Linked DNA regions of Drosophila melanogaster. The protein of the gene in region 1 interacts with the protein of each later gene in a pairwise test. Each region holds a gene or a part of one and is shown in the gene's direction. Other genes may lie near its edges. The genes, in order: CG15347, Nep3, CG14118 and BNIP3.

The links.
Region 2: the proteins of CG15347 (region 1) and Nep3 interact in a two-hybrid assay, tested with the Drosophila melanogaster proteins (one large-scale study listed by BioGRID).
Region 3: the proteins of CG15347 (region 1) and CG14118 interact in a two-hybrid assay, tested with the Drosophila melanogaster proteins (one large-scale study listed by BioGRID).
Region 4: the proteins of CG15347 (region 1) and BNIP3 interact in a two-hybrid assay, tested with the Drosophila melanogaster proteins (one large-scale study listed by BioGRID).

The regions. Positions count from the first base shown.
Region 1 is NC_004354.4:8,456,451-8,463,761, reverse strand, and holds CG15347 (uncharacterized protein), read left to right. Parts: upstream 1-2,863; 5' UTR 2,864-2,938; coding exon 2,939-2,996; intron 2,997-4,379; coding exon 4,380-4,538; intron 4,539-4,592; coding exon 4,593-5,065; 3' UTR 5,066-5,268; downstream 5,269-7,311. Other genes in the region: Sptr (sepiapterin reductase), read left to right, coding at 1-241; Es2, read right to left, coding at 544-1,697, 1,840-2,191; CG32713 (uncharacterized protein), read left to right, coding at 6,202-6,756.
Region 2 is NC_004354.4:19,958,031-19,965,434, forward strand, and holds the start of Nep3 (neprilysin 3), read left to right. Parts: upstream 1-3,266; 5' UTR 3,267-3,570; intron 3,571-3,658; exon of another isoform or gene 3,659-3,815; intron 3,816-5,145; exon of another isoform or gene 5,146-5,311; intron 5,312-5,924; coding exon 5,925-6,041; intron 6,042-6,751; coding exon 6,752-6,914; intron 6,915-6,975; coding exon 6,976-7,096; intron 7,097-7,166; coding exon 7,167-7,404. Other genes in the region: CG43784 (uncharacterized protein), read right to left, coding at 1-195; CG12655 (uncharacterized protein), read right to left, coding at 470-870, 1,271-1,337. UniProt on the Drosophila melanogaster protein: Metalloendoprotease which is required in the dorsal paired medial neurons for the proper formation of long-term (LTM) and middle-term memories (MTM).
Region 3 is NT_037436.4:12,890,018-12,896,931, forward strand, and holds CG14118 (uncharacterized protein), read left to right. Parts: upstream 1-2,640; 5' UTR 2,641-2,695; coding exon 2,696-2,843; intron 2,844-3,307; coding exon 3,308-4,479; 3' UTR 4,480-4,741; downstream 4,742-6,914. Other genes in the region: CG43894 (uncharacterized protein), read left to right, coding at 207-267, 326-454, 523-1,040.
Region 4 is NT_037436.4:20,513,123-20,522,664, reverse strand, and holds BNIP3 (BNIP3), read left to right. Parts: upstream 1-3,271; 5' UTR 3,272-3,657; coding exon 3,658-3,697; intron 3,698-5,360; exon of another isoform or gene 5,361-5,388; coding exon of another isoform or gene 5,389-5,404; exon of another isoform or gene 5,405-5,966; intron 5,967-6,532; coding exon 6,533-6,804; intron 6,805-6,878; coding exon 6,879-6,940; intron 6,941-7,041; coding exon 7,042-7,221; intron 7,222-7,281; coding exon 7,282-7,333; 3' UTR 7,334-8,066; downstream 8,067-9,542. Other genes in the region: Pss (phosphatidylserine synthase), read left to right, coding at 1-21; CG5104 (uncharacterized protein), read right to left, coding at 379-510, 888-1,005, 1,081-1,250, 1,438-1,509; mTerf3 (mitochondrial transcription termination factor 3), read left to right, coding at 1,925-2,711, 2,771-3,048; CG32425 (uncharacterized protein), read right to left, coding at 8,979-9,527.

The DNA.
Region 1 (7,311 bases):
CGAGGAGTCCGCCGAGGACACCCTGGTGTTGAACTACGCGCCCGGCGTCATAGACACACAGATGACCGTCCAGGTTCAGCGAGAGGCCCACGATCCCGCCGTGGTCGCCATGTTTCGAGAGCAAAGGGAGTCCAAGACCATGCTGACTCCCGCCCAAACGACGGAGCGATTCATCAAAGTCCTGGAAGCATTCAAGTTCAAGTCCGGCGATCATGTGGATTACAGGGATGAGCAGTTCTAGCTAGTTAATCAGTATGTTGCTATCTGTGGTAATGGGGTTTTTCGTATTGAAACATTAAAATGAAACTAAAAATGTGCGCAAGTGTTTTTGCTACAACACCCAATACATCTTAATGAACTTCAAAGCTGATAAGATATGTGTATGATGTTTATGATTTACGCATTCTTAAATCTTCTTTCCAACAACTCGGCATCTATTTATAAGAAATATACAATTCGTAACAACACTGTGGGACTATGTATAGTATTCTCTAATGAAATTAAACATGAATAATGTAGCTGGGTTATGGGTAATGTTATGTACTAAAAGAAATCGGCTGCAGTGCGTCGTTTAGTGGGTATCTTGAGCAGATCGTCCGTGAGCGTGGATCCCGTATCAATGGTAACGTTCTTAGCCGGAGTGCTAATCTTGGCCTGCTGTTTGGGTTTGGGTTCACCCAGTATTGGCGTATTGGTGCTCCTCACCACGCCGGGCGTAACCTTTCGTTTTCTGCCGCTCATCGGCGATGGTGTGTGCCTTAATCGGGGCGTGCCGCGGATACCCAGCTTACCCGTGGCCAGTAGCTGCGCTGCCGGCGACATGCTGGCCAGCCGTTCCATATTGGTGCGTATCAGTGGTGAGCCAATGTTACGACGCGCCGTATCCAGAGCCATTTGTTTTTGATTTCGCATCCTTTCGCTGACCCTTTCGGCCAAAGCGATGGCGATGTTTTCGCGCCGAGAGTTCTCATTAATCCGGAACGAGGGTCCTTGTGTGGGCCGCAATGGGGTATCGCCTCCGTCCAGGCGAAAGGGAGTGCCATCGATCTCACCCCAGGTCATTATGGGCGAGAAAGCCTCTCCGGGTCGCGGTGATGGTGAACGCAACAAATCGAAGCCGCGTACCTTCGGAGTAGCTGTGGCACCACCAGCCCCATTTTGGGGCACTTCATCATTCAGCTTTTTAGTGTCCATTTCGCGATGCTTTGCCTCATCGGGCAGCCTGGTGGCATTGTGTTGGATGCTCTGCTTCCGTTCGGCCAACTGGACGCGCTCCTCCTCTGTGTACTCCACGCCATCGGGCACGTACATAATGGAATTCATGTTGGTGTAGTTCCAGGTTTCGATCTTTCTCAGCGGATCTGGCTCCTCGAATTGCGTTTCTATGCTGGGCAGCATTAGGGCCCGCTGCAGTTGCTCTGCGGAGAGCTTCTCATGGTTGTACAGTACTGCGTATTTTTGGCGCAGCTTGGCCTCGGCCGTTTCGATGATCTCCTGAAAGCTCTGGTTATCCTCGCTGGTGTACTTCTGCAGAAAGGCGTCCAGCGATAGCTTCGCGGTGGTGTCCCTGCCCTCGGCATCGCTCTTCTCGGAGCCGTCCGTGGAAAATGGTGTGTCTGTGGCCCGGGAATTTGGCAATGGGGTGTTGCTACATTTCGCCTGACTCACTGGTGTCTCAAATGTGGCCGGGGACATGGCTGAAATGAAGGAATTCAAAAAGTTAATGGGTCTATCTATTGAACTTGGCCAATGTATAATTTCATCAGACTTGATTTCAAGTAAGATAGTAGCAGACAGCGATGTGCCAGTGGTGTTCATCCAATTGAGTACAATACCCACCATTATTCCGTCGGCTGGTGCTTCTTCCTGTCCCGGAAATCCTGCCCAGACTGTAGCGCTCCCGAATCTCGGCCATTTGTACAAAGTCGCGCCGTGACTCCGCGTCCAGGTAGTCGTTTTGGGCACGCAGCCGCTCCAGATCGGGAAAGAAGTCGCGCTGGATGATCTTAGACATCTCCTCGATGTACTTCTCCTCGGTAAGGATCTTTGGCTTGTTCTTGTGGCGCACCATCGCCGTGGGCTTTTTAAACTCGGCGAGTGCTGAATTCTGGACGCGGGCCACTTCCATGGCCAGGCTGCCGGGAGTGCCAGGTGTCCCCGGTGTGGCAGGTGTTCTAGTCGTGGCGCTCATTGCCGTTTATATCTCGCTTTTTTCGTAAATAACTTTGTTTTGTTTAGATATAAAAAGTGAATATTTTTGTCTGCCAGCAAAGTGTGACCGTTTTAAGTTTCACTCAGAATAACAAAACGTCGGTTCAAAATATTTCCCTGTATTTTTTTTTAATTCTCGGATGTAAAAGGTGAAATTAATCAGCTTAAAAGTTTCGACTTCCTTTACAATAAATTGGTGAGTATGAACCAATTTAAATTTAAATAGAAACAAAATGATATTTTGCTAAACTATATTAATTAAAAACTCTGGCAAGGAGTACTTATCGACGTGTTATCGATAAGTGTGGAACGCATTCAAATGCGCGCTAGCATTTGAATTGAAATTTTAATGCGATTAGCTAGCACTTGAAAATGAAATTTATTACGATTTTGCAAACATTAAAGATATATTTTTAAAACATCTGGAAGTTTCGCAAGTGCGCTGACTAACCCGCTGAACATAATTTATGAAAATGAATGTATGCCAAAGAGCGACAACTTTAGCGTCGTGAATCATTTCAAAACACTTTTTTTTCTCAACTCACCAATAGAATTACTGTTGTCGTGGTGCCTTATCGTAAAGCTGTAGGTATATATGAATAGGGTATAAAGCTCGGCAAAACTCAAATCACTCATTGAACCTTTTCTACTCCCTTAGTTCTGGTTCAGCTCCGTAACCAGTCGCAACATTCGATCGTCGTGAAATTAGTTACATCAGTTATCAGCCATGAAGTTTTACCTGTTGGTGATTGCAGCCCTCTCGTTTTTGGCCTACATCAGTTGTGGTAAATGTTGTACCTGCCTAAATGTTGTTCCAAAATAAGTTTCACTTTTAATTTTCATCGGGATCGTATTTTTTTTTTTTTAATTTTCTTTTTGCTCTTTGAATTGAAAAACTTATTGAGTGTTTTATATAAGGTGTGATAAGCGGTGATATCATGGACACGGAAATAAATTCATGATAAGCTATCAATAGGCGAGTTTCCAAAGAAACTTTTAAAGGTTCTTAGCTTTGTAACTGGGCAAACATATTCTTTTTTTTCTAAGTGTGAGTGAGCCAGCAAAAAGATGTGAAAATTGTACGCCATATATTTAAACCATGTGTACATACAGCTGTGTTCAAAAAAATAGCAGTGCAAGAGAAACTAAGAAATGCGACGGTTTTTTTTTCATGTTTCGGGATCGAATTTTTATTCCACTTATTTTTGTGAATTGGAATGTGTAGATAGGGAAAAAAAGAAAATGTCGTTAGTTTTCTATGCTATCCTTTTTTTTATTTACATTCTTGAGCAAAATCACAACTTTTAGGCTGTTCAACAGAATAGCAGTGTCTGGTTTTGACCAACGTAAACTCCCGAAATGATCAATATTTTCTAAAAAGTGAGTTTGAATTTGAATTTGAATTTGTATATTTAAAAGGGCAATAAATTAAAAAAATAAAAAATAAAGAAACGCAGAAGCAAATCGGCTAAGAATAAGTTCGTTCTAAGTCAAGTTGAATTTTGTTACTATTTTTTCATAGCACTGCTATTTCTGCTTGTTTTAATCTATATTTTCGAAACTATTAAAAAAATGAATGTGAAACATTTGTTGAATTGTTTAAAATTAAATACCTAATGATATTATAAAAAAAATTTTCCCATTAAAACTTGAAATCTTAAGATTTTTTTATTTTAAACTCAAGCACTGCTATTTTTATGAACACAGCTGTATGTCAGCGGTAATTTAATTTCTCTTTGTGATGAAGTACATAGTTATTCCGTTTCATTATTAAAGTTGAAACATAATCTCGTACATTCGTACTTTCATGTAAACACTTGGTAAATATTTAATATTTACTGCCACCTGATATGCTAAATATAATTTGCTTGCAAGCTTTCGATTTATAGCCAATGTAAATTGACTCTTCTTATCAAAAACATACAAGTTTGCTGATTCACTTGTCATGGGCATGTTCGTAAGAATCGATTGTGGAAAATCGAGACAATTGCCATCCGAGTACAGTGCGCGTCATTGTAATAAGGCATGCAGGTAGATACATAAAAAGAAATAATCAAACACATTCAAACACATATGCACTGTGGTAGGTAGGCAGACTTTGCACGAAATCAATATGATGTCATTATGCCAACGCAACGATTACGAAAAACTTGATCTAATCTAATCAGGCATGACTCAATCGAAACGCTCCGTTCCACTCGCTCAATTTGCAGATGGATGCATCCAGTGCAATTCGAAGGACAACGAACGCTGCGCCACAGATCCATTGAGCCTGCTCAATCGCAACTGTTCCGATGGATCCTCCAACTGCTATTCCCGCGTCCTGGGTATGTTATCGCATTGATTACCCTGGCTGCACCATCTAATGGTATCTTTCGCAGATGGCTACACAATTCGCGGCTGTGCCGTCGATCTGGACAACGCCACGCGTAATTCGTGCAACAACGAGCTACTGTGCCAGCTGTGCACCTACAGCGAGGGATGCAATCGAAACACCTTCCCGTTGAGCCGCCTCATGTGCCTACAGTGCACAGGGAACTCGACCTCGTCGTCCTGCGCCACAGAGACCTATGTATCGGCCAAGATCTGCCCGCTGTACAAGTTCGGCGACAAGTGCTACATTCGCAATAGCAATCGCACCGTGGACGGATCCTTCCAGCGCGGCTGTCTCACCTCGGCGAATGCCAGGAAGCAGTGCGTCAAGGATGGCAACTGTTATACGTGCGAGGGACGCGGCTGCAACTTTCTGCTGGCCAATGATACCAACATTCCGCTGGCACGCGACAGCGGTGCCCAGTTGATCATCTCCATGACGCTGCTGATCAGCGGTCTTGTCGCCGCCTGGAGACTCTAAGATGTAACGACGGCCAGAGTCGAATGATGGACGAAAGTCAATCATGCCACAGACCCAGTTCTTTTAGAAATTCCCGTCTTATTATTTTCTACATTCTAAAACATCATTATACATACATACATACACTGGGATGTTACATTTATACTCGTTTATTTCATTACTTTGAACAAAACGTTAATAAAGATAACTAAACTAAAGAAGACAAAAATAGAAATGGTTTAGTTATTACATTTTGGGATTGGGGGATAACCAAAACGTTGCTCACTTTGAACAGTTCTTCATCGTAATGTTTTTTGAAGCAAAAGTAAGCATAAAACTTTAATGCATAAACACAGTGAACACACATTTCACTTTTTACGAGGTGTCAACGGGTTGGCACTGCAGTTGACAACATGCCACTGTGTTTATGAAGTCCCGATTTCAATTGCGATACCCTATACCTCTATTCCTCGATTCCGATCCCAGACCAAGAGAAATCGACGACGAGCCGCAAGTACCGGAGTGGCAGTTGGAAAACCGGAAGCTCTCGGCGCAAATGAGGAGTGCATAAATGTGTCGACGCCTCCGAATGTTTGTCAATTACTTTTCACGGCTCGCTTTTCCGGATGCCATTTTCCATTCGATCGAACTGGATGTGCGGAAATAGATCAGTTTTGTGCATGGTACTCGGCTCCAGCGATTTGTTAACTAAACTAACTATTTATAGGCAACATACGTACGTGGAAATATATATACATATGTACTGTGCGGGTTTTTAAATGCAAGTTATAATATTAGTCAATTTGATTTAAATGCTTTTTTCTTGTTCCAATTAGGTAGTCAAATTCATTTCGCTAGAACTTCGTTGCCATCAACTTTCTGATAGCTTGTACTTGATTTTCTTCGATTTTGTTTATGAAATTCGATTGGAGAATCAACAAATGTTGATTAGGCTATAAGGTAATCCAAGGATGCCATGAAATTTTACTCGCACTGGCATTCGCATGACGACGACAGTTTTACACAAGGGGTTCCAGAAGCAAACTTCTATCCGAACAAAGCAGACTACACCTGGAGACACAGAGCTTGTGTATAAAATCTAAAATTATCTATATATATATATATATATATATATATATATAAATTCGGGCATCAGGATGCGGAAGGTCCAAGTTTTGGTTCAGACGCGCGACGGCAAGAAGACCGTCTACGAGGTGGATCGCTTAGGAACGGTGGCCAGCCTGAAGGCACGGATCGGGCAAGTCATGTCCGTGCCCATGGGCTTCAGTCGGCTGTCGTACAAGGGTCGCGTGCTATCCAATCAGAGCGTACTGGAGGATTTGGGGCCCAATAAGTCCACCCTGGATCTCACCTGGAAGCCGGTCGTCCTGACGGCCAATCAGAGCAGCAAGTTAAGCAAGTTCGGCTATGGCAGGATAGACGATAGTGAAGTTATGTTTACACTGATCGGTGGCTATCAGCAACGCGAAGAATATCCTGGTGGCCTAGTCAATCCACCGGACGACGAAAGTCAACTAAACTTCAACGCAGGTGACGATGATGATGCACTGGAGGCCCAGGACATGACTGGACACGATTTGTCCTCAATTCAAACCGATGATTTATCGCTCAAAGGCCAGACGGAACCGGAGCTGGATTGCTCCATTGGATCTCATGGATTCTCTGGATCTCAAGAAGAAGGCCACGAATAACGACAATGAGAAGTAGACTGTTGTAAATTATCTTAAATTAAAAATATTTAGTCGTCATTTAATTTCGAAATTCCTTTAAGCCAAACGCTTCGATTTGGAATCTAAATTTACGATACAATAATAAACCTTTAGTCGATTTCGTCCATGATGGAAATTTTACAACAAATGCATTACACTCATTTATATATAATATTTATATAATCGATAAAAAAGATCGAATATCGAATTTATGAATCATTTAAGTAATTTCTTCGAAGCAGTTAGCATTTCATTTCCAATTGTTTACACTCAAACAAATAATTAACGACTAAAATGGCATGGCCAATGCCATAACAATTTTTCAAATTTATGTATTATTTATGGACTGCATGGTACGATCTGCTGCGATCGAAATGCTTCTGAAAATGCCAAAAAAAAGGGGAAAAAAAATTAACTCAAAATAATTGTAAACAGTAGTGCGGCAAACGAAAATCAGGGAAAAACATTAACAAGCAGTTGTTCCATAAATCCAGGACGCAACTGGATGCGTAGATTTATATGGAAGGGGTGAGTAGG
Region 2 (7,404 bases), about 12 Mb from region 1:
GTCGTTATGTGTGCGGATCACACCATCAACGATTAGCGTATCAAGGGCGTCATCAATTCGCCTTCCCATTTTCCAGAACTTCTTGTCTGTAGCTGTGCTCACCGCTTTTAGGATCACCTCCTTGGAGGCAAAGCCACCCATGGCGTCGATGCACTGGATCACCAGGTGGCTAATATTCGATTTTTTTTGCGACATTTGAATATCAAATTTGCTTCGTTTACAAAATAATTTAAACTTTCACTATTATGAATAAATTTTTGTTTAGTAATGTTCAATGTAGTTCTCTAAGCCTTCTGGGCTTACCAAAATCAAATCAACTAATTCATTCTGACAACAACCCACCTTCCAGTAAAAAGCATTCTATGTTTTAGTAAATTTAGTAAAGAATTTACACAACTGAAAAGTTTACATAAATTAAGCTTAGAGACTAATTCACAAAAAAAAAAAACGATCCCACACTGCAACCGCATCAAAATCTCATGCCGCCCAAGGCCAATCCAAGTGCTATGGTCACGGTGACGCCCACCGAGCTGCCGATGATTGCTCCGCCATTCTGGTAGCCATAGGTACCCGGGTAGTTGGGGTCCGGCCGTACGCCCATGTAGCCCGGCTGGCCGGGATGGCCCACCTGGTTGTTGTAGGAGAAGGGACGACCGTGCTCGTCCGTACCGCTCACGTAGTAGGCTCCATTGCCACCCGCTCCACCGTAGGTACCACGCGAATCGATGCCGGCGTATCCGTAGCTGAACTGCGGATCCTGGCCACTCAGACTTCCCGGCGGATGCATCCCGCCGGACTGGGCGCTCGAATAGACGCCAACGCCGGCCGCATTTCCATTGTTCCAGTGCACCGTTCCGGCCTGGGCATCCACTGGATTCAAATGAAATGTGCTTGAATTAGTAACGCATGTAAAAGGTAACTTTCCTTGACCACAATGTACCCGCCACTTCTCGTGGACCAAACATGCTACATGGTCGTTATCAAAATGAGACCTAATACTATTACACATTTTAAATCAAATAGTTTAAAAATTTTGCTTTCATATTTGGTTTCAAATAGAAGAGATCAATAATTTGCTGATAATATCGCAGTGCTTAATTCTCCATTAGAAGTTGAAATTGAATTTGTTTACTTGGCACCGTCGAAATGGTATCGTGTGTGCGAATGCGATGTGTTATTTTCCATGGAAAAGCCGCTGAGGTTTATACGTATGTTTATTTATCGTATTTTTTGTGCGATTTTTCATATGTTCTGTTAGCGTTTCACTCACCAGCACTAAAATGAACTAGTGCCAATCCGATAACAATGACGATCAGAATGCGATTGAAATTCGACATGTTTTCCGAATGCGCGTTTGACTTCAACTAAACCGCTTCCAAAGTGCCATTGACGGTTTTAAACTCGATTCCCAAGCTCGGCTCTCATGTTATGAGTAACAATAGCGATTTTCTGCTGCCCTGAGTCATATTATTTGGTGTTTATTTACTCAATTTGAATGGAGCTGTAGTTTCGGTGGGGTATGATCAAAATAGGCACTTTATTTAGCACTGAAATCGAAAATCGAAACAACAGATTAAACATCTTAAATCTTTTTGGGTAAAATATTACCACTAGGTATCATATAGTCGAATTGCACAAAAATTTTCTCTGTTACAAGTTTACAACCTGTATTTATCTCACTCTGTAATTAGATATGACTTGTGACTTGAGATTAACAAAATAGTTTCGGTTAGCTGCAGGTAATGGGTATCTTTTAGTCGACGCACTTTTCTCAATTAATTTGCGTCTGCTTTATTAAGGAATCCTCAAAATAAAATTTAGCTATACTAGTGGTATTAATTCTTCTTATTGTTCATATCCATTCATCGTTTATTTGTTCCACATGCAGATGAGATTATTTTCTTTTCGATCAAAGAACATAAAACCGCGGTCGTACTTTATTTTCCCAAACGAGAACACGCAACTTCAAGTGCTTTCATGTTCGAGTGTCGAGATGTTATTTTTTTTTTTTTTTTTGCTGTATAGAACACGATAATTGGTTGGGTCATTAATGATATGCACGACACGGGCCGGGGTCATTTTGGGTTAAGGTGTGCTCCCATGTTGGTTTGCCCCAGAAGTCGAGATACATACATACATACATATATGTACATAGATCTTCTGGCGAATGGGGAATGCCGAGTCACAGTGCTTTGATGATCGCCCGAATTGTATTCGAACCTTCGTTGATCTTTTATGACCAAGTATATTTTGCATACATATTTTTCTAAATATTAACATATGCATGTTGTATATGCATATAAATAAACAAATATATATATATATATATATATTTATATATGTGTGTATTGTTGTCCGTCCGTTTCGCACTTTTCAGGTGAGTGGCGTTCGGAGGCGGGCAAACAATGCAGGTACGTTGTGGCTACCGTTCGACGGAAAATACATACAAACATACATATACATATGTACATACATGTATGTAGAAAACGAAAAGCCTCACAATACAATTGGTGGGCATGTGCGAATTGTTTGCTTTCTCAGTTGTGACGTAAAGCAATTTAGGTCGGCCGATAGGGTTATGCTAATGGACTATTCAATACCTTATGCTTGTATTTTTACTGCTTTGCCGAAGATAGTGAAATTGAATAGTGACTTTGTCATTCGACTGACATGTTCATTGACGTTCATTATTCATAGCCATTGCTCGCACAGGATTCATTGTTTCTAGAAGCTGTATGCTGAATCTCAATCTTCTAGCTTTTATAGTACCTGAGATCTACGGATACGGACAGATACGGACAGACGGACATGGCTAGATCGACTTGGCTATTGATCTTGATCAAGAATATATATACTTTATATAGTTCGAAACGCTTCATTCTGCCTGTTACAATGCTTTTTTAACGAATCTAGTATAACCTTCTACTCTACGAGTAACTGGTATTCAAATTTAGCTGATTAATTGAGAATTACGAGAATCGTTAGCTTTGGATACTCGATTACGTGGGTTAAACCGATAGCTTGTTGAAGGGCACTGTGATTGTCTGGCAACTCGTTGCGCGAAGCGTTGCCACCGTTCAAACAGATCCTGCGCAGTGGACCACGTTCTCCGGCAATGGGTTCAACTCGCTCCCTCCTGCCACGCATTTCTCTCTCTGTTTGTGTGTGTTTTGCTCATCTAATACGTTTGTGTTATGGTTTTTCCATTTTCGAGGGAGTCCAACCACCCGACTCCCAGCGCCGAGTGAAATTTGGAGAGAAAAGGCTAGTTCGAGTGCGATTACCGCTGCTGCTGGTGCTGGAGCTGGCTGTCAGTGGCTCGAGTTGGCAGTGTTGGTGGATACCGTTGCCTTTTTGTGGCTCAGAGCGGTTTGTTTGACCGCGAGCGGAATGCAGATAAGCGCGTTTTAAATGAATCACTGAACGATCGAATGTTATACCCATCGAGGGTCGGCCAAACTTAATCGAAAGTGCACCAATAAACGGCAAAGGGTCGAGAAAAAGCGAGCGCAGGGAGCTGGAAAAGTTGCATTGCCTTCTTTCTAGCGCACAAAGAAAATGAGCGCAAAGGTAGGCCAAGAGCGCGCCTCTCTTTTGCTGAACGTGTGTGTGTGTGTGTGTGAGTGTGTCAGTGTGTGAGTGTGCTGTATGTGCAATCAGAAGTACCACCCCACCACACCACACCACTTCCAAACAGTCCGATTCAAAGTCATAATTTCATTTGCATTTGAATAAATGCATCCCAGGCACACCACCCTCTCACCACTCACACATCTAAGCTGCTCCGATTTTATGGTCCTTGGTATAGAGAAATTGTAAGGAAAGCTGCACAAATGAAGTAGCTACCATATGGTATACCAAATAGCCAGGATACTCGCAGCCAAATCGAGAAAGGAGGTGGCATAACGACAGATAATGACGAGTCGAGAGCACTCATTCTACCAGATTTCAACTCAGTGCAGCTCAAGTGAAATCCCATTGTGGTGGTGATTCGGTGAATCCCTGCAGTTATCATCTGTTGCCCTGCAAAAAAAATGGCATGAAGAGCCGTTTATGAACTCGGAGAATCCGAAGTAGCCATCATTGACTTTCACATGGGCTCCGTTCGGTTCATTAAAACTCCCTTGGATGGACGCTTTGGTAGAATAGTCGTAGTAAATGGTTGAGTGAAATATCCTTATTTCGAGCATAAGACTAAGGTATATAATAACTTAGTTAATCATTTTCAATGGGACCTAAAGTTGCATCATATTCAATCATGTTATGAACTTAATATATTTCCCATAAAAGTATTAAGACGTCAATTCCGTTGATTTGCCCATTAAGTCGAACCTTTCAATGGTTTTCTACCTCCTTGTTTTTCAATACATTAGCCGATTTGATTGGTGGCAAAAGGAGGGCTCGTTAGGCGTAACGCCATTTAATGCGTGTTTACATTCAACAGTCTGCTAAATGTCAGTTGGTGTGCAGCCTGTGTTTACATTGCGATGGAAAATCGTGGCGAGAAGCAGTCCAAACTGAGGGATACCTCTTGCTTAATGTGTTTTTAAATGTGGTTCTATGTGGCCCATCCATTTTCACGTGTATTATATACCTATTGTATACCTGCAATATCATATCGCCCCCATCCATCATATGTTATTTATATCGCTTGTTGTCCGACACCAGATTACGTTCGTAAATCTATATCGAAAGCTTAAAGATACCAATTTGTTGGCAAACAAGATCGAGTGCGAAATCATATCATATGGCGCCTTTCCGATCCCCGATCCCAAATCGACATTAGAATATTATTCGGCATACCGAAAATGGGTGGGTTGATATAGAAGATATATAGAAGTGCACATAAGCAAGGCCGAATCTTTTGGTGTATATTTGCATTGTGTTAATTGAATACATATGCCGCTCCTTTTCATTTTAATGCGCCCAGTATATCCATTTCGGCTACATCTTGGCACATATTGCCGCAGTAAACACGCACACAGCCGCCAGTCAATTAATTTGAGTACAATGCAAAACTATCCAATATAACGCGCCGTTGGCCCGTAGATGTTTTCTGCTTTCGGCGGGCATTGTTGAATTGGTTGGTCGCAGAACTCGGAACTCGCAGTCCCTGAGTTCCGAAGCTCTCCGGGCTCGACCGCCAGTGCCTTGCGAGCGGTCATGGGCTAAGCACAGATAGTATCGTTGCCGCGCTCTGTTTTCGTATAGCTCCTCCCGTCGAAGTTCCGAAAAATAAACACACTACCGCATACCGTGCTCTCCCCATACACAAAGATTAACCAAAATGTGGCTTTCCGACTGCCGTTCGGTATGTCCGTGCTTCAGCTCCTGTATCCCATTCACTTTTAGTTGGGCACCTTAGTTAGACATGGAATGCTGACAAGTGGTTGAGAATGGGTTTTGTTCATGTTCATGTTTCAGACTTCGCGATTTCTTTCGAATGGATATCTAGATAGCGAGTAAAAATAGTCCAAAGATTACGAGGAACTCTTAGTACAAAATTATACATATATTTCTCTTAAGTTGTTGTGCATTACCTTTTTCTATTTCTATATTTCCATATAGTTTGGGTAATTTGCAAATTGTTCCTATGATGAATGCACATTTTCTGAAAACCCAAGGCATATCGTAAACTTGGAATGCTCTGCTGACTGCTGAAGGGTTAACACTTTTGAGTACATAGAGCACCATATGAAAATGGGCAGCAGTGGGGGATGTGAGAGAAATGTAAAGCACAAGGCGTTGAGTGAGCGCTAAAGAACGCACGGTATCTATACAATCCGAGCGGAAAAGCTTCGGTCTACTTATCAGATGCCCTAGACCAAAACATGTGATAACAGATAGCAGCAACATATTTAGATTATTAGATACACGTTGGTAGGCAATTTGATGGGTTTGCAACAATTCGATTCTCATTCCAGATGACGCGCTACAAGCAGACCGAATTCACGGAGGACGACTCGAGTTCCATCGGCGGCATTCAATTGAACGAAGCGACCGGCCATACGGGCATGCAGATACGCTACCACACCGCCCGGGTATGTAAGAAACCTGTCGGGGTAACACCGTGCATCCGTGCAATGCAATTCAGTCGGATAGCCACTTAGTTGTCGTTGGGCTTCAGCTTTATCTTTGTGGCAATGACCCAGAAACGAGTGGCAAATGGGGCCAAAGTGAGCGCTTTTCTCATTTGCTCGAAGGTTGCCAGTTGACAGTGAAAAGTCTGCTCTTATGAGTGGGAGCGCGTTGGTGTGAGCTTTTCCCTCTGCGAACTGACATGAATACCCTATCTGGTGACAGGGTAACGATGGCTTTGAGAGGCGGTTCGTTGTTCAAATAAATTTAAACTTCATGTGATATTATTCCATAGATATACGAAAGCACTTGACCGTATACAACTGTATCAACAAAATGTCTAAAAGCAAGTTAAATTACTATAGAATTTAAACAGTGTGGTACAATATTTGTCTTTGGAGACTGCATTTCATGAGTCGTTGCGGCTTCTGAAAAGCCATTTATCTATATCTCAGCGATATATGGAAAAATTAGCAGGCAAGTGCCTTACGCTTACGAAATGTATCCCATGTAGATACCACCCCAATGTGTACAAGTTTGAACTCATTTGAACCGCCGTCGTCTTGTTTACAAAACACACAATTCGCTGGAAAAGATTTATGGGGCGAATCTTTTGTGCCGCCATGTGGAGGCCAGAATGATTGGTGGCTAATGCGGCGTTTTCATTTCACAGGCTACATGGAATTGGCGCTCGAGAAACAAGACGGAGAAATGGCTGCTCATCACGACTTTTGTGATGGCCATCACGATCTTTACGCTGCTCATCGTCCTTTTCACAGATGGAGGCAGCAGCGATGCGACCAAGCACGTCCTTCACGTCCAGCCGCACCAAAAAGGTATGGATTGGGTGAATGTAATCTAGGAATTTCCAAGGATACACAATCGTCTCCCTTTCAGATTGTCCTTCCGGCAATGAGCTTCCTTGCTTGAACAAGCACTGCATCTTCGCCTCGAGCGAGATCCTTAAATCGATCGATGTGACCGTGGATCCGTGCGATGACTTCTATGGATATTCCTGGTGCGTTAACTAAAAATTCAATTCAAATTGTTCAAGAGGAGTTCCAGTAACTATTTGCTTAAAATTGCAGCAATCAATGGATCAAGAACAACCCCATTCCCGAGGGGAAATCCACGTGGGGTACGTTCGGCAAGCTGGAGCAGATGAACCAGTTGATAATACGTAACGTACTGGAGAAGCCGGCAAAAAGCTTTAAGTCGGACGCGGAGCGGAAGGCTAAGGTTTACTATGAATCATGCCTGGATGCGGATGAGCACATGGAGAAGTTGGGGGCAAAGCCCATGAACGATCTACTGCTGCAGATCGGA
Region 3 (6,914 bases), on another chromosome or scaffold:
CAGCCATACAAAAATATTCAATTAGCGCTGTTTAATGAACTTTTATTTATGTTAGAAAGAGTCAGAACAATAATCATCATATTTCGGTGATTTAATTTTGCAAATAATCATTACCGCAACTCATCAACCATGAAATATCAAAATGATATAAATATGAGGGATTTAGGGAAATGAATTTAGTTAGTTTCGGAATTTTACAAGAGAAAATGGAACTTGTTGGTATATATTTGATATTAGCCACGACGATTGTTGTCCAAGGATACAGAAGTAAGTCAGCGAACAGGATAAGGGATAAAATCTAAAAAATTCCCCACTATCAATACAGAATTTGGACTTAGTTGTGAGGATATTGCCTGTATATCTGGTAAAAAATGCATTGTATCCAGAGTTCCCTGCGAAAACCCAAATCAGCAAGAAGGAGAACAATGTGGAACCTATCCGGAGTGCCAATCAGGTTCGTAAAATTTTGTTTTTTCATCGGTTCACACTGAAATCTGGTCCTTTTCAACTGATCCGTTTCAGATCAGCTGGCCAGCGATTTCATCATCGACACTACACAGACCACTGCCAACACCCGAAACAGCATCATCATACCCAGCACTTCCACGAGTCGCAATCGGAATAATAGGAACAGTGACTTTAAACTGCTGAGCGATTTCAGTAACTCCGATACATTTGCCACCCATGCAGGCCAACGGCAGGCTAATGTTTTGGTTATTGTTCAAGATGGTTCCCAGCAACCTCAACAGCCAAATCCTTGGCTAAATCGAGGACAAAGTCCTCCCTGTACCATCAGTCCGCTCTACCCATATTCCTGTACTTATCCCCGTTATCCGAATTCGGGAGCAGGATTGCCTTCTTATACGCAGCAGCGATCGGCCAATGGGCCACAATTAGTTCCTCCCACTCCACCATGCTACTATAACTGCTATCCCAGTGTGCGGTCAAGTTCATATGGTCAATATGGATACCCCCTGTCTAGATCAGCCAATCCCTCATCAACCAATAACTATTTAATCTACCTCACATTAGCTGGCTAAAAGACCAGGAGCTTTAGTTATGTGCAAATAATAAATATAGAATCTATTATCAACCTTTTTTTTTCGTTTCTATATCTTCGCCAGTTTTGCACCGTTTCCGGCGAACGCCACAAATGCCTTATCAGCCTGTGGGGATGCCAGCTTCAATGCCACCCGGGTATCCACCACCTCGCCCACCGTTTCAAATGCAGCAGCCGCGTCAAGTTGCACCACAATATGTGATTCCACCTCAGCCCAACCCACAGTACGCAATTCAATACCAGGCCAACCGGCAATATGCCATGCAAGGACAACCCAATTCGGCCAATCCTTGGCTCCACTTCTCAGTAGGGATGTCCTATCCAACGTATATGAACTATAATGGACGTTCCGCTGGGAACTCACTTCCATCATTTTACAATCCGTACCCACCCAGTTATAGTACCTATAATTACAATATTAACTTACCCTTTTCGGGTGGATCTTCCTAAGATCTTCGATACTGGTTAAAAAAAATTCAAAGCTACTCAGCACCGGATGGACTCCTTCCGAACATTATTTCATTACTTTCAAATTTGTCGTTCCTAAAATTAATAGCTAATACATATATTTGTCAGCTTCTCTGGGGGAAACGATGACGGATTCCGAAATGGATTCTGATGCAACACTACCACAATTTCACAATCGATCGGCACGTCAGATTCCAATGCGTCCCATGCCAGGACCAATGCCAATGCCAGGAGCGCTGCCGTATCCTGGTCCTGTTTCAATGAATGTACCATCTCCGGGGCGTGCGTATTATCCCTCGTATATGGGACAACCTTATATGGGACAACCGTACATGCCAGGTGCCATGCCCATGATGCCAATGATGCCCCAGGGAGGTGGAACTATGGGTGGTACCAGCATAATTGTGGAGCCCTTAATAATCCTGCCAATGGGCATTGGGGCAGGCACGGGTACGGGCGTGAATCCAAATTCATATTATGGATCGAATGGAGCTTATCCCACGTATAACAATTACAATCCCTACAATACGTACACTACTGCACGACCCAGCTACGACTATAACAATTATAACAACAACAATAATAACAATAACAACGATTACAACTCATATGGTTAGATTTCAATTAAATGATCCCCGAAATCTACATGATCATTATTCATTTACAAATGAATCGAAAGCTGTCCAGGTATGAATATATTGTGTACATACATTGTTTGCCAGGTCATTTAACAATAGATTATTTTCGATTATTAAATAAGAAAAATGTCAAATATAATTGACGATTAATCTTGAATAAAATTATTGAGATACATCATTCGCGAGATAAATCACTTTTTGTTTTAGCTCTGTAAAGAAAGGGGATCGACAAAAGCAAAGAACTTAATGCGACCTAGACCTAAATACACATACATATGTATAAAGGTATATAGATAGAAAGAACTCGGAAGTACTCAAAAAATGCAAACAATCCAATGGTATTATATCTTTATTCTCAGAGAGATTACAAGACAAAGAAGCAAAACGAAAGAGAGAGCGAGAGAGAGAGAGAGATGTAAGATACAAGAGCACGAACTGAGAATATAAATAAAAACACCTGTTCACCAAACAAATAATTCAGTCGGCGGTTAGATAGCAACTTAACCGGTCGAGTTGAGTTTCCAACAAAATGATGCTTCAGTTTATCGGCCTAATTTTGGCGGTCGTGATTCTGCGAGAGATTCGGGCACGTGAGGCGATCGCAACCATTCCAGATGTGGGTCAGATAATCAAAGATCTCGATGGACTGCACATCGATGGAGAAATGTTTCATCAAGGTATGTGGTCGCCTAAAAGTTAATAACCATACGTTTATCCAAAGCAGACTGAGCTTTGTTTGAGTAGTTTGACTGTAGTGGTCACATTCGGAATGAAATATATGTACATTTTGGAATGCAAAAAGGTCTGATGTTTGTTTTTCTTAAAAAAAACTATATTGTAGAAACAATAACCTTATTTACACATAAAAGTCACCTGCTTCAACAAAGTAAAATACATAGCACCAAAGGGCTGGAAAATAAATTAGTCTTAAAATTGGTTAAAATTCAAAATAAGAAAGACTTAAATATTTAAAAATATATATATGAATATAAAATTATTATATTACAATTGTTATATATATATTGTTCGTATATATAATAATATTATTGTGTTGTAAAATATTTAATCTTTATGTCATCGCCTAAAATTATGCCAAGAATTTTTAGCCACATCTTTTAACACACCTAACTTCCCATTTTAGGTTCTCCCTGCAGAGTGGATGTGCAAAATGATCTGCCCCGTTTGGATAAAGTGCAGCCGCTGTACCTGCGCCCAGGAACAGATCTCTACTGGCTGCCCAATGCTTATGGGCACCTGGAGGTTCAACGCGGCGCCAGCATCGAGCTGCACTGCAGCCATTCGTTCGCGCCCGCGAATGGAGAGTCTTTGGATGCGAAGCTGCGTTCCATTCGGGTGAAGTGCGTGCAGGACACCACCTTCGAGTGGATGGGGGCTAAAATCCATTTCAGCGACTTTGTCTGCAATCACTCCATGCCCTACACCGTGGAGCGATTGGACAGGAGTTGTGGCAGCGACACTCCGAGTCCATCCACCTCGTACTTGTATCGCGTGGGCTATGACACCGGAGATGGCAGATTTGTGGCCACCATGGAGCTGTGCCACGACCCAAATCAACTGCGCACCCACTACGCCCACCATCAACTGACACCGGCGAATGTGCACTTCCAGAAAAAATTGAAACGCCCGAGGTTTAGCACCGCCGGCCATTTCACGGGCTTTGACATGGCCAGAATTTATTCGCCCAAGAGCCAGGAGAAACTGATGGTGCCCGGCCTCATTGACGTGAAGAGTGGTCTGTTCCTGGCCCGCGGACATTTGACGGCCAAAGCGGATCTAATCTATGCTAGCCAACAGAAGAGCAGCTTCAACTACATGAACGTGGCGCCGCAATGGCAGAGCTTCAATGGTGGTCAGTGGTCCAAGCTGGAGGAATCCACCCGACAATATGTGGCCCGTTCGGGCATCACGGCCACTGTGTATACGGGCATCTATGGCGAAATGAAGGTGGCTGGCAGCAAAGTCCTCCACATGACCACCAATGCCAATAACATAGGTGTGGTGGCCGTGCCCCAGCTCTTCTATCGCGTCCTCATCGACGAGGGCCATCCGACCCGCGGAATCGCTTTGGTGGGTGTGAATAACCCACATGCCACCCTGGCCCAGATCCACGAGTCCTATATCATCTGCGATCCAGTGGAGGAGTCGGTGCAGTGGCTTAGCTGGCTGCACAAAAGCAACGCCAAGGGTAACCTGAAGAATGGCTATCTGTATGCCTGTTCGGTGGCGAATTTGGCCCGGGCTGTCGGACATTTGCCACGCCCACTTCTCGAAGTGGATGAGCTGCTCACTTAGATGTGGGCGGTGGCGGTTCGATTGCCCGTACTTTTAAGTGAGTGCAATAAAGACTGAGTGAGTTGTGTGACACAACTGCAGTTTGGTATTAGTGAAAATCACGTCACAACACTGCAACGAATGTGCAAACCCTTGAAAACAATTTTGCAGAAATGCATTACTGTATAAATATATATACATATATTTCCTTTGAGCTATTAAGAATAATTCATGATTATCTGGTACAAAAAAAAAAACATAAACATCATAAATCTTGGAATTTAAATAAATCTTTAAAGAAAAGGTCTGCAGATTTTGTCAACCTAACAAGTTAATTTCCATGAAGGAGTCGTCCTTGCCCATTCTTTTGCCAACCATCTGTGCCCATTCTTTTGCCAACCATCTGTGCCAGTTTCGTGTGTGTGCTCAGATTATTAACGCTCGTGTGGGCTTCACGCCATCAAAATCAAATGGGACATCGTGTGTGGTCATGTCGGGGGCGGGGCCACGCCCACGTTGGTGCCTCGAATCGGGAAATGCTATACACTCGTTATGCGATTGCCTTGTTGGCGAGGGCGCAAAATCGCTGGAAGAAATGGGGATATCAAATACGGCTCGGCTGCATTACCTTCATGCCGTTCACAAAACACAATTTGTTCCACAACATTGATTTAATCCTTTTTCTTCTGCGCCACGCACACACACACACACACACACACACACACACACATACACGGGAAATACAAACAACGCAACGCACATAAAATGGCTGTCGTGAAGAATTTTCTTAAATTTTCCGCTGGCTTTTTCATGGCATTTCCCGTCGTGGAGCTATGTCCTTGGCATTATCATGAATATTTGCCCCCTCTATTCAGTGCTTTCGATACATTTCCATTTGCTGATTTGAAGCGCACTTTCCACTTTTCCACACCCCAGCTCCTTGCCGCCTTTCCGTTTTTCCGATTTTCCGTTTTCCGCTCGCTTAGGTCGGTGCCGGTGTATTCGAAATGGGGCAAGCCGAAATTATGTTTTTATGCTTCCTTGTGCGGTAAGCAATATTTGCTCAAGTATCCCTCACAGACTGTTGGACAGTAATCATCAAATGGGGCACAAAGAGTTGGGAAATTTGTGGTTCGTGTTTCAAGAAAACGAGGCGGAAAAACTAATGAAGGGTTAATAAAAAAACTATATCGTATAGATTTTATTTCATTTATTAAATAATTTAATATGACTAAGAGTATAGCACAAGTTGGTTTGTTAGATAGTTAAGCTAGAAATGTAATTATTTAAAAAGTCGAATATAATTAAAACAAATCATCAAACAAGCTTCTTTGACATAACACGAGTTTGGAAAACTTATGCAACAAAAGTTTTAATAATCAGTTGATGGAACATAAATTGAAAAAATAAATCAACGAAATACGTAAAAAGGTAACCAATTAAAAACTGATTTCTATGCAAATGAATTCTTCCGACAAGAAACAATATAACTTTCAACTTGCCTCACATTCCCTGGAAATTAAATGTTTTTTTTTTTTTGTTCTGTTTGCCTAGCTGAAAGGCACTTGTAGCAATCGTATACCGCTTAAGGACATGAAATGGAGTGCAGTACAAGGTCCGAAGTCCAGACGACTTTCCTTAGTGGCCATAACATTTTTCCTTAAAATTGGTTACAAAAACAAGGAATACAACAAATTGCTTCGTTGTTGTTTGTCTTGTTTCTTTCGCAGACTTGATGAAAGTTTATCTGCTCCATGGAAATTGTGAGGTCAGTGGCCAAAAGGAGCAGCAGCAAGGATACCACCGACCAACCGAAAAAAAGTCAAATAATTGAACGCACTTCGCGCAGATGTTGTCGGGATTCTTTTTTATGTCATTGCTGGCAGAAGGATATGTTGTGTTGTGCGGCCGCCAGCGGAAATTATAATTTATATTTGGGTTTTCGCTCGGCCTCTGTGTGTATTTTAATATCGCCACCTCTTGTTTGGAGGCCAGCTCCAGTGGGCCTTGTTTTTTATTTTGATTAAAATGCATATTAAATATTTGGCAAACAAACAAAAAAAGAAAACGTACTATAAAACCAACTGAAATGTATCAAATAAAATGATATATATAAAAAAAAACAGTGCAGAATACATAAAAAATATAATATAAATAATTTCCTGCTACCGCCTGAATTTATTTCCCGCTGTGGGTCCTGCTTCCTTCCGTCCTGGCGATAAACTATATACATACGCACCCTATATATTTATGTAAACATATAGATTGAGCTACGACGACCTTACCCGAACTTACAGCAAATCCTTCGCTATGCATGAAGGGGCATATAAAAATAAACAATGTTCGGGTTTATTTACATGTGCGTAAGAACCAATGGGATTGGGAATGGGGACACAGGACATACAGGATCTACAGGATGCTGTAAACGATTTCATTTGTATTGAAAATTGAAGATC
Region 4 (9,542 bases), on another chromosome or scaffold:
AAAGAGAAGAAACTAAAATAAGAAGTTGATATAAATAAACTTTAAAGCTGCAGAAACAAAGTGGATCGGGCCATTCTTTAAATTAAAAACCAAAACAGAGAAGAGAATTATGTACATAAACTAAAGAAAACTGTACTGATTAAATTAAATACATAACATGTAAATATATATATATATATGTATAAAAGATATATATATATATATATATATATTTATTAAAAAGACAAAATGGAATTATTGTACTTGTTAATAAGAGAATATAAAGGACATTCTATGTTCTAGTGCTAGGTTAATACAATACAAAAGATTTAATTGTCTTAGCTTAAGCTACAAACCAATCTGGCTTTTCTCGAGCTATGTACAGAAGCGCATCTGATTCTAGACCTCCAGAATTGCCGACATGGTCTTCTTGACCGCATCGCGGGCGTAGGGGATGTACGACAGCGAGTACCAGGTCATGGCCAGAGATTGTATGATAATGAATATAAGCGTGAGTCCCGCCTTTTTCCACTAAAGCCAATCAAATAAAAATAATAACATATTAAGTGCACACATCGATTGCATCGTACTGTTTTTTTGTTCAAGTAATAAGAATTAAACCAATATTCAGAATTTAATTGCTAGGGCATGTGAAACTGTGTTATTAATATTAAAAGTAAAATGCTAAAAGCTTTCATTTAACTTTACTGTGAGTTCATGAAGTATGTATAAGATTTGGATCGCTATTTCATTGGATAACTTTAAAGTCTAAACATTAAGGAAAAGTTTTCTACAAAACCTGCAAACAAATTCGTCATGCTATCGCTATAAAACTAACTTGATTATAAAAGTTAACGACCGAACCCTAAATAATTGTGATATCTTCGATTTGAGCATGGACGCCTTACCACAATAGCAGCGATGAACGTCAGGACCATCATGACGAGCACGATGATGGTGGCGATCAGCCGTGTTTCCGCAAACATTTTCTTGATCTGCTTGAAGGGACCCATGAGAAAGCAGGTACTGAAACCGGAGAAGAGAGACTCATTAGCCGGCTTGTGTGAAGTACGAGTGGAACGGAACCAGCAACTCGCTCACCTGGCCATCGAGATGACGTTTCCTAGAGTGTAGAAGACCGCAAAGACCACAATGCCCCTGTGCAGAAATAGGGCGACCGAGCCGAGTAGGGAAAGTAAGATGCCCAAGGCAAAGCAGATGACGAATCCCTTGATCCGAGTGGACCAGCTCAAAGTGGACATGTCGTTGATCTGCGTATGTAATTGATTGATATTAACTAAATACTTTGATAAGCGTTGGGTCACACGGCTTGGGGCGCCATGTGATCGCGGGGCGTTGCCAGCGGCTAGCTCCTAAGCCACGCCATAATCATAATTCCTCCAGCCAGAATATGTTAAGGGATCTAATGAGATCTGTACCATTAGAAAATTTCTTCACCTGCGTAATGATACTGCTCTCCTCCTCCGGAGTGGGCTCATCTCCACTCAGAACGCGGCGCAACTTGTCCATTATGCGGCGATTGAATAATGTTCAACAGGTGGCTGACTTGGAATTACCGGCACTCCTCTCGGGGGGTTTTGCACATACAAGGGTCTCTTCTGTTTTTATGCTCCGGAATTTTCACACCAAAATAAATCCAAGATCATACCTAGTGTGACCGTGGTGGTAACCGTTAACATATACCGTCCGATTAAAAATTATACCAACAATTTGCAATTTTATATATATCTTCATAAAAAAACTAAAGAAATCAGATATTAGTAGTGCATTTTTGTTCAAGAATATCCATTTAAAAACAAATATGTTTTTATATCAAAATCATATTCAAAATATAATTTTAGCTTTTTCTAGCTAGCATGCCATATTTAGAAACTTTGGCAGCCAACTGCTGGTCACATTCGCGACATCTGGCAACGCCTCCAGCATGTTTTGTTCAGCTCTACGTAACATTTTGAGGAATTCACAAAATGCGGCTAAAAACGCAACAATTACCTCACAAATACGAAATCTGCGAGGACAACAAAGTGTCCACCATGAGGTAGAAGTGTTAACATCACCGGGTATAACCACCAAACAGAATGACAAGAAGACCGAGCCTGCGGAATGTGAAGGCTCCAAAGAAGTGGCTCTGGACTTCCGAAATCGGGAGGCCCATGTGCCTTCCTTCAATTTGGCGGCCTATGTGAACAACTCGAGTACCCTGCAGCAATTTCTCAGCTTGGGAGTGGATCTGCACAGTATTGAACGGCGAAAGGGATTGGGAGACTTTGTACTGAAGCTGGATTTCGAGAAAAATGTGAAGCCCTACATAACGTTCCTGGTGGATCAGGGCGTATCACCCGATGACTTCGGCAGGATGTTCACCAAGAACCCGCTGCTGTTCAAGGAGGACTTGGACGATCTGCAGACCAGAGTGAACTATCTAAAAAGCAAGAGATTCTCGGACGAAGCCAGGCAAAGAATTCTCACCCAGAATCCTTATTGGCTGATGTTCTCCACCAGGCGAGTGGATCGTCGATTGGGTTACTTCCAAAAGGAGTTCAAATTGAGTGGTCATGATCTGCGACTGTTGGCCACCAGAGAACCCAATGCCATTACCTACAATATGGAACACCTCCGCAAGTCTGTGTTCACCCTTAAGGAGGAAATGGGATTCAATGCCAAGGAGCTAAGTGACCTGGTGGTACGAAAGCCGCGCCTCTTGATGATTCGTAAGTCTATCTACATTCAAAATTAAGGACATTTGTAATTAAACAACTTATCCTTGCAGCTCCGGATGATCTTGTCGAGCGATTTAGTTACATTCACCAGGATATGGGCCTTCCACATGCCCAGATTGTCCAGTGCCCGGAGCTTTTGGCCTCACGCGAATTTAGACTGCGGGAACGTCATGAGTTCCTGAAATTGCTTGGAAGAGCGCAATATGATCCGCAAAAAGACCTGTATATATCGCCAAAAACTATAGTGGAAGGCAATAACTTTTATTTCGTCCGAAATGTGGCTAAAAGTGATTTGGAAACATTTGATTTGTTTTTGAAAACGAGATAAGAATAAAATAAAAGTAAATGTATATATACTTTTCATATTCATATATGCATATGCATATATTTTCAAAAGTCAACAGAAACCAAGTTTTATCATTTTAAAAATAACCACCAATAAATTTACTTGATACAAGGGATGCCAGATGTAGGAAAACATAGACACGCACCTGGATTGCTACCGTTTCTCCATCTGGTCACACTGGACAGCAACAAAAGATTTAAACTACGCATTAAGCTTGTGCGTAGAAACGAATCGTGTTTAATTTTAGTTACAAGACAGTCGCTTCGGGAGAAGCATTAAACAAAGTTGCAATATTTCGGAGCTCCAGCGGTTGGCTTCAGTCCGAAACCAGTAGTTATAGTCAAATCGAGTGCAGCGGCGGAGAAACAGCGCCAAACGAAAAGTAAAACGCATTTTCCTACGCATACATAAACAGCAAAAGCGAATACACAAACACAGGCAGACATACGGAAGGGCCAAAAAAAACTTGGTCAAACTCACGAAAGAATAATAGAAATAGTTTAACTTTAAAGCGAGTTAATAATAAGCAATAAACCCAAGTTATCTTTGGTGTTGACGTGTTGAACACACATACCGATAAACAAAAACAAAATGTCTACGACACCAAAATCGAGCGAAGATTTGCTGGGCGGTAAGTTGTTTGTTTTCGTCTGCTTTGCTCTTTCATTCGTGTTTTTTTGCGTCTCCCCTTTTTACAATCATAACAATAACATGGTAACCCGTTATGCCGCATTGTTGTTGTTGCGAGAGTATCTAGACATGTGTATGTATTTATGGAGTTGTTTGCAATTTGTTAGTATCCGCATCCCATATTTTTTCAAGGCTTTGCGTTGTCTGCTTTTTGATTTCTTTCTGCTTTTATTTGTTTACTTTGCACTTGTTCTTGCTCCGCAGAGGGGGCGAGAAAGAAAGAGAGACAACAAAGAATCCGCAAAACTCCGTATGAAAACAAAGACAAAGAAGCTGCCAACGCACTCTTTCTCCCTCCGCTCTTTCATTCATGTCATGTCTTGTTCCTTTACTTTGCACTTAGCACGCTTGACGTCAGTTGTGGTTTACTTTTTGCGCTCCCCATTTCCCCGACCCGGTCTTCTTCTTCCGTCTGGCTTGCTAAAATAATTCGTAAATAAATACATTTTGTGGGAGGGCATTTCCCTATCGGTCGTTTCCAGAAATTGCGCCTTTGGCATATTCGCTTCAATTGTATTTCGGCTGCCCACTTTATCAACATCCACGTTTACACTCGCGGAAAAACTAGGTTATATAAATTTATACTCATCAACGTACTTGAATGTGTTTTTCAAAATCTCTTAATTTTATGAAAATCGTATGATGGACAATATTCAATAAATTTTCTTAGGAATTGCACGAAATGTTGAAATATTTTGTTGACATAAAGTATAATCTTTTTGGTTGACTGCTTGAAAGCACTTTGTTTGTTTGTCGAAAAGGTTGTTGACTACCACAGAAATTATACTACAATTCTGCAAAGTCACTCACAAAAGTAATGCCGGACGAAAAATTTGTTTTTCAATTTACTACCATCCAAGCAGTATTAATCTAATCAGTTTTAGCCCAAATCGAACCATATGTTATGAAATACATCACTTTTGAAAGGTTTGACACAGTTTGGATGTGGAATTCCGTTATCAATGATAGCATATAAATATTATTCATATGTATTTCTATACGTTTGAATGAATCTGATATTAATCTTTTAAAGCTAAGTATGTACATATGTATATGAAATAAGTGTGTAAGTAATGCGCCGGCTTGATCTGTTTCTTGACCTTAAAACACGTGCGAAATGAATGACCAACTTAGAGAAACATTTTTTCTTTGTGCACTGTGCCATATACTACGCAAGAAATCGTATCATGATACCGAGGAGTCATCCATCCAATAATAAAGGCGGTTCAATGGGCCCAACTCAGGGTCTTTTGGACAGCTGCGCATCAAGATGCACACCCGACAAAGCCCGAAGAGGGTAGGGTAGAAAGAGAGAGAGAGAGGGGGAGTGATTGTTAGAGAGAGACGGAGGGTGGTTGGCCGAAAGAGAGGGAGAGAGGCCTACGTGCCGTGAGTCACAAAGCCATTGTTTTTGTTTTTGCCACCCTTCTGTGCACTTTTGCTTTTGTTTTTGTTTCCATTTTCGTACCTGTAACCCGGATTCCCGATAATGCTCCAAATATTGTTTACCTGTGCAAAACTTCTGCGTCTACCTGACATACGGGCATTTCCATTTTCTATTTTCGCAACATTTCCATCATAAATGCATCATCCTTTTCGTCTAGACGATGCATTTAGTATTCAATTGTCAGCATGATTGGTGTGCCACGTGAGTGATCTGAATTATTCTGTAACTGATTCCATCGCGAAAGTGTCTAAATTAGATGATTGTACAGTGATAACTCGAGAGAAAGCAATACCAGGAAGATTTTAAATTTATAATGTGACATTACAAAATTATAGAAAAAATTAATTTTAATTAATTAGAAAGTGAATAATAGATGATATAAGAGGCGTTGGGTGTGATCGTATGTGTGATTATATATATGCGTATACATGTAATCAGTTGGTTGTATTATTAGGTAGTTTTTAGGAACGCTACACTGTACTCCTTATCAAGTAACTTGCACGCTTCTCGTGCCCATATTGCATCGCCAGTTTGTCTTTTTTCTCGATTTGTTTTGAAAATGAAATTTTCTCCGTAGAGCATTGATAAGCATCGGCTTGTATAGACTATAAACAAAACATGTGTGCTGCTTTATATACACAGTATGCCGAAAAGAAACGGAAATTATGCGAGTGGTGGGGTTTTTAGCGTTATCAATGGGGCACGAGCACTCGAACAGATATATACAAGCACATACATTGCAGATCCGGCTAACGAATCGAACGTATGTATGGTTAAAATGTTTTTACGTGTAAACAAAAACGAAGACAAACGCTGAAAGGGTGACGATGGCACATTTTTAGAGCCGCTGCCGCCGCACAGTGGCTCTCAAACTGCACGCCTTTCTGAGTAAACAAGTGAAACTACTTTATTTTGTCAGCAAGTGTAATTTTAGACAAGGGATTACTTTAAACTGACGTTTATCAGCTTAGAAATAAATAAACTGTTTCATAAATAAACAGTTAAATAGGGTTAAACCATTCAAAACTTAAACATCGTAAAATATTGATATGTTCTGTATGAAAATTTCTAAAATTAAATTAAAAATTGTTGTTAACGAACCTAGAACGTTTTCGTTTGTATAAATTCAATAAAGAACGTCATAACGCACGTCTGTGTTTGGACTTCTCATGTTTATTCAACACGCCCCAAAAGGTTTCGACCCTCGAGCCTGTGCTATATTTAACCACCTCCAAATGCAACCAACTAAATATTTAATTTCACCCCATTTGGCTTTAGCTTTCACCCACTTTGTTCGCCAGTCTATCATGCTAATGATCTACTTTCCAGAATCTTGGATCGAACTCAGCACAACAGCTGCGATGGCTGGCATCAAGAGCCCCGACAGAATCACTCCGTTGCCATTCAACAATGGCGAGGAGTACCTGAGACTTCTGCGCGAGGCCCAGCGCGAGTCGAACCAGTCGAGCCGTGTCGTCTCCTTGGCCAGCTCCCGTCGTGATACGCCCCGTGATAGCCCCAAGAGTCCACCGAACAGTCCCCAGTCGGAGCTCTGTCCGGATGATGAGCTCAGAAACGTGTACATCAACTACTGGACCAAGGTAAGAGATGAGAATCGAGGCGGAACCGAGGTGATCTTGCTAACAATGCCAGTCTCTGTTTTTGCTTTTGCCAGGGAGGAGACAAACAGAATGCAGGCAATGAAGATTGGCTGAAGAACTGGAATCAGCCACCCAGGTATGAAAGTTTATTTAGCTAAGTTTCTAGAATCTAGAACTAAGTTTGGAGCATTGCGGCCTTTTACCACAAATGGTCATTCATTGAATTATTATTTACAGTAGCTGGAACATTGAGGATTCAAGTCGGGATGCCGGCGACGAGGGCGAGAAAAAGAAGACTAACACAGGCTACTCCATCCGTTTGAAGCGACTGGGCTCCAACTCGTTGTTCTCCCGCGAAATTCTGTACTCGCTGCTGGTGACCAACGTCCTGTCCCTGCTGCTGGGAGCTGGATTCGGGTAAGGGTCTCTAGCAATCTTCACCAGATTCACATTTCATGTAATGGTATTTATTTATAGGCTATGGTTGAGCAAGCGTGGCATACTCCTTACCCGTGTGGTCATTGACTGAAAGATGCCATAAACAAAAAGGAGAAAGAGGAAATATATATAATCGTTTTCAATCTATCAATATGCACATCAATCGAAAACAGAACACGATGCGTTCCATATAAGAAAACGAAGTATACACATCTATACAGCCAACCGTATTCCAACTCATTTGTATTTTTATCGGAAGTCTATATTTTCGACACCTTCTCATTCAGTACATACCTATAAAAATGTAATTTCTAATTACTAAGCCAGCAAACTAAAACAGGCCTTTGGGCAATGGTTGAAACTAAGCGTTTTCATATTTTATATAATTTTATATATTTAACATTATATCAAGGCAGCAAATCTAATGATACAGAAAAGCATTTATAGATGCTCCATATATTTTGCTTTAGCCGTATGTCTTAGCACCCAACCGTGCATTATATCCAATACAAATGTACGCCGAACTTCGTGTTAAGAATTTCAATTTCATCATCATACATCATATAGAACAACCATAAACATTTGTAGACATATTATAGTTGAATCGTATTGTATCCTGATTGTACTTTTTGTTGAACAATCGTCAAATGTTTCGATACAATAAGCATATAAGAAAAACGATACAAAAGGAGAAAAAAAAACAATATGGCACACATAAGATTATATCTTTAATGTGAGGGAAGGGTTATCCCCCACACAAAAAAAACAGAATAGTTGTAATGATTTTTTATATTAAAATATTTTTCAATATCTATTTAAAAGAGCATCTGCAAACATTTTTCTTTGGTGGGTTTTACGGAATTGCAAGAGATGGCTTAGAAAGTTTTGAGAATTTTATAATCTTGGAAAGACGGATTAGTGAGATGAAAGGGATTTTCAGGGAAGTGCTGCAAGGTATTTTGAGATGCCTTTTGTCTAAAAGGCATTCCCGGTGCTTGTTGTTGAATAAGTCGCCTGTTGTTTTGAAAATCGCTAGACGTGTACCTGTTCGCATTATCAAACTGTTTCACATAAGTGAGGGCTTGGATTACCTTTGTGTATATAAAGGGAAAAACCCGCTATTTGCATTTCGCCATTAATATTTTTTTGAGATTATCAGCAGTGAGTCAGTATAAGCGATAATTTCATCATAATGTGCTAATAGTCAACTAATTTTGTTAGTTGATCATTTAGACTTGTTATCAATTGCCAAGCGAATGCAATATCGATACGAACTAAACTGCCGCCCTTTAAAGTGCATAAACTAACTGTTTTTGAGTTGCTTTAGCAATTGTAATTTTATTTAAAGTTTTATTAGGTAATAGTGTCTAAATACTTAGGTGATTAACACAGTTCCGAAACTAATACATATTCCGTGTGGTTGCTGGGAAAAATCCTCGTGACTTAAAACAATATTCAATCGACGATTTGTAACTCAATGAAACGATCGCTGGGTGATCGTTGCTAGCTTTGATTTTATGCTATATAGACAGCCATAAGACGGTGAATCGAGGCAAAACTGGGATGCCAATTTAAGTACAGCATAATATCAGATCAGATTAAGATCCGCGCATTATATATATATATATTGCCTAAATCTAGATGGTTAACTATAGCTACCATTTGAGCCAATATCAGAGACGACATCGAGATGTGGAGAGAGGAAAAAACATTCTTAACTGACTTTTGGCCCTGGGCTATTCCTGACCGTTCGAGTTTCTGAGATTTTGTGCGGCGGTGCTGGTGGAGGGCGTTGGCGAGCCAGGGGGCGTGGGAGTGCGTAGGGAGCGTTCAAAGTCCTCCGCTAAATCATCGTCATCTCCCTCCTGTTGCCAACTGTCCAATGCGGAGTCGACATCGAATTCCGGGAACTTCAGCGTTTCCCCCGTCACATCCACCAGCCGAGATCGCAATCTCTGCGAGATCTCCTCCAGCTCCGTGTATTTGCGCTTGATGGCCTGGCCCAACTGCAAGTGACCCAGTTCCATGGACTTCTCGAACTGATCGATTACGGTATCTACACTGGGCGATATGGGCTCCACGTGCGCCTCGATTCCCCCAGTCACACGTCCATTGAAGTCTACTATGTTATGCCATCCGCTGGGAAAGCCTCCGCCCGCTTGTTTTTGGTTAAGATTAAGTGCAGCGAATCCTATTATGGCATCTTCATGGGGAGACGGCTCTGTGATGCCATTTGGGCTAACAACCGCCTTTTTCCAAAGCTTCAGAATGAAAAGCTTCTGGGGCTGCAAAGGAAAAAT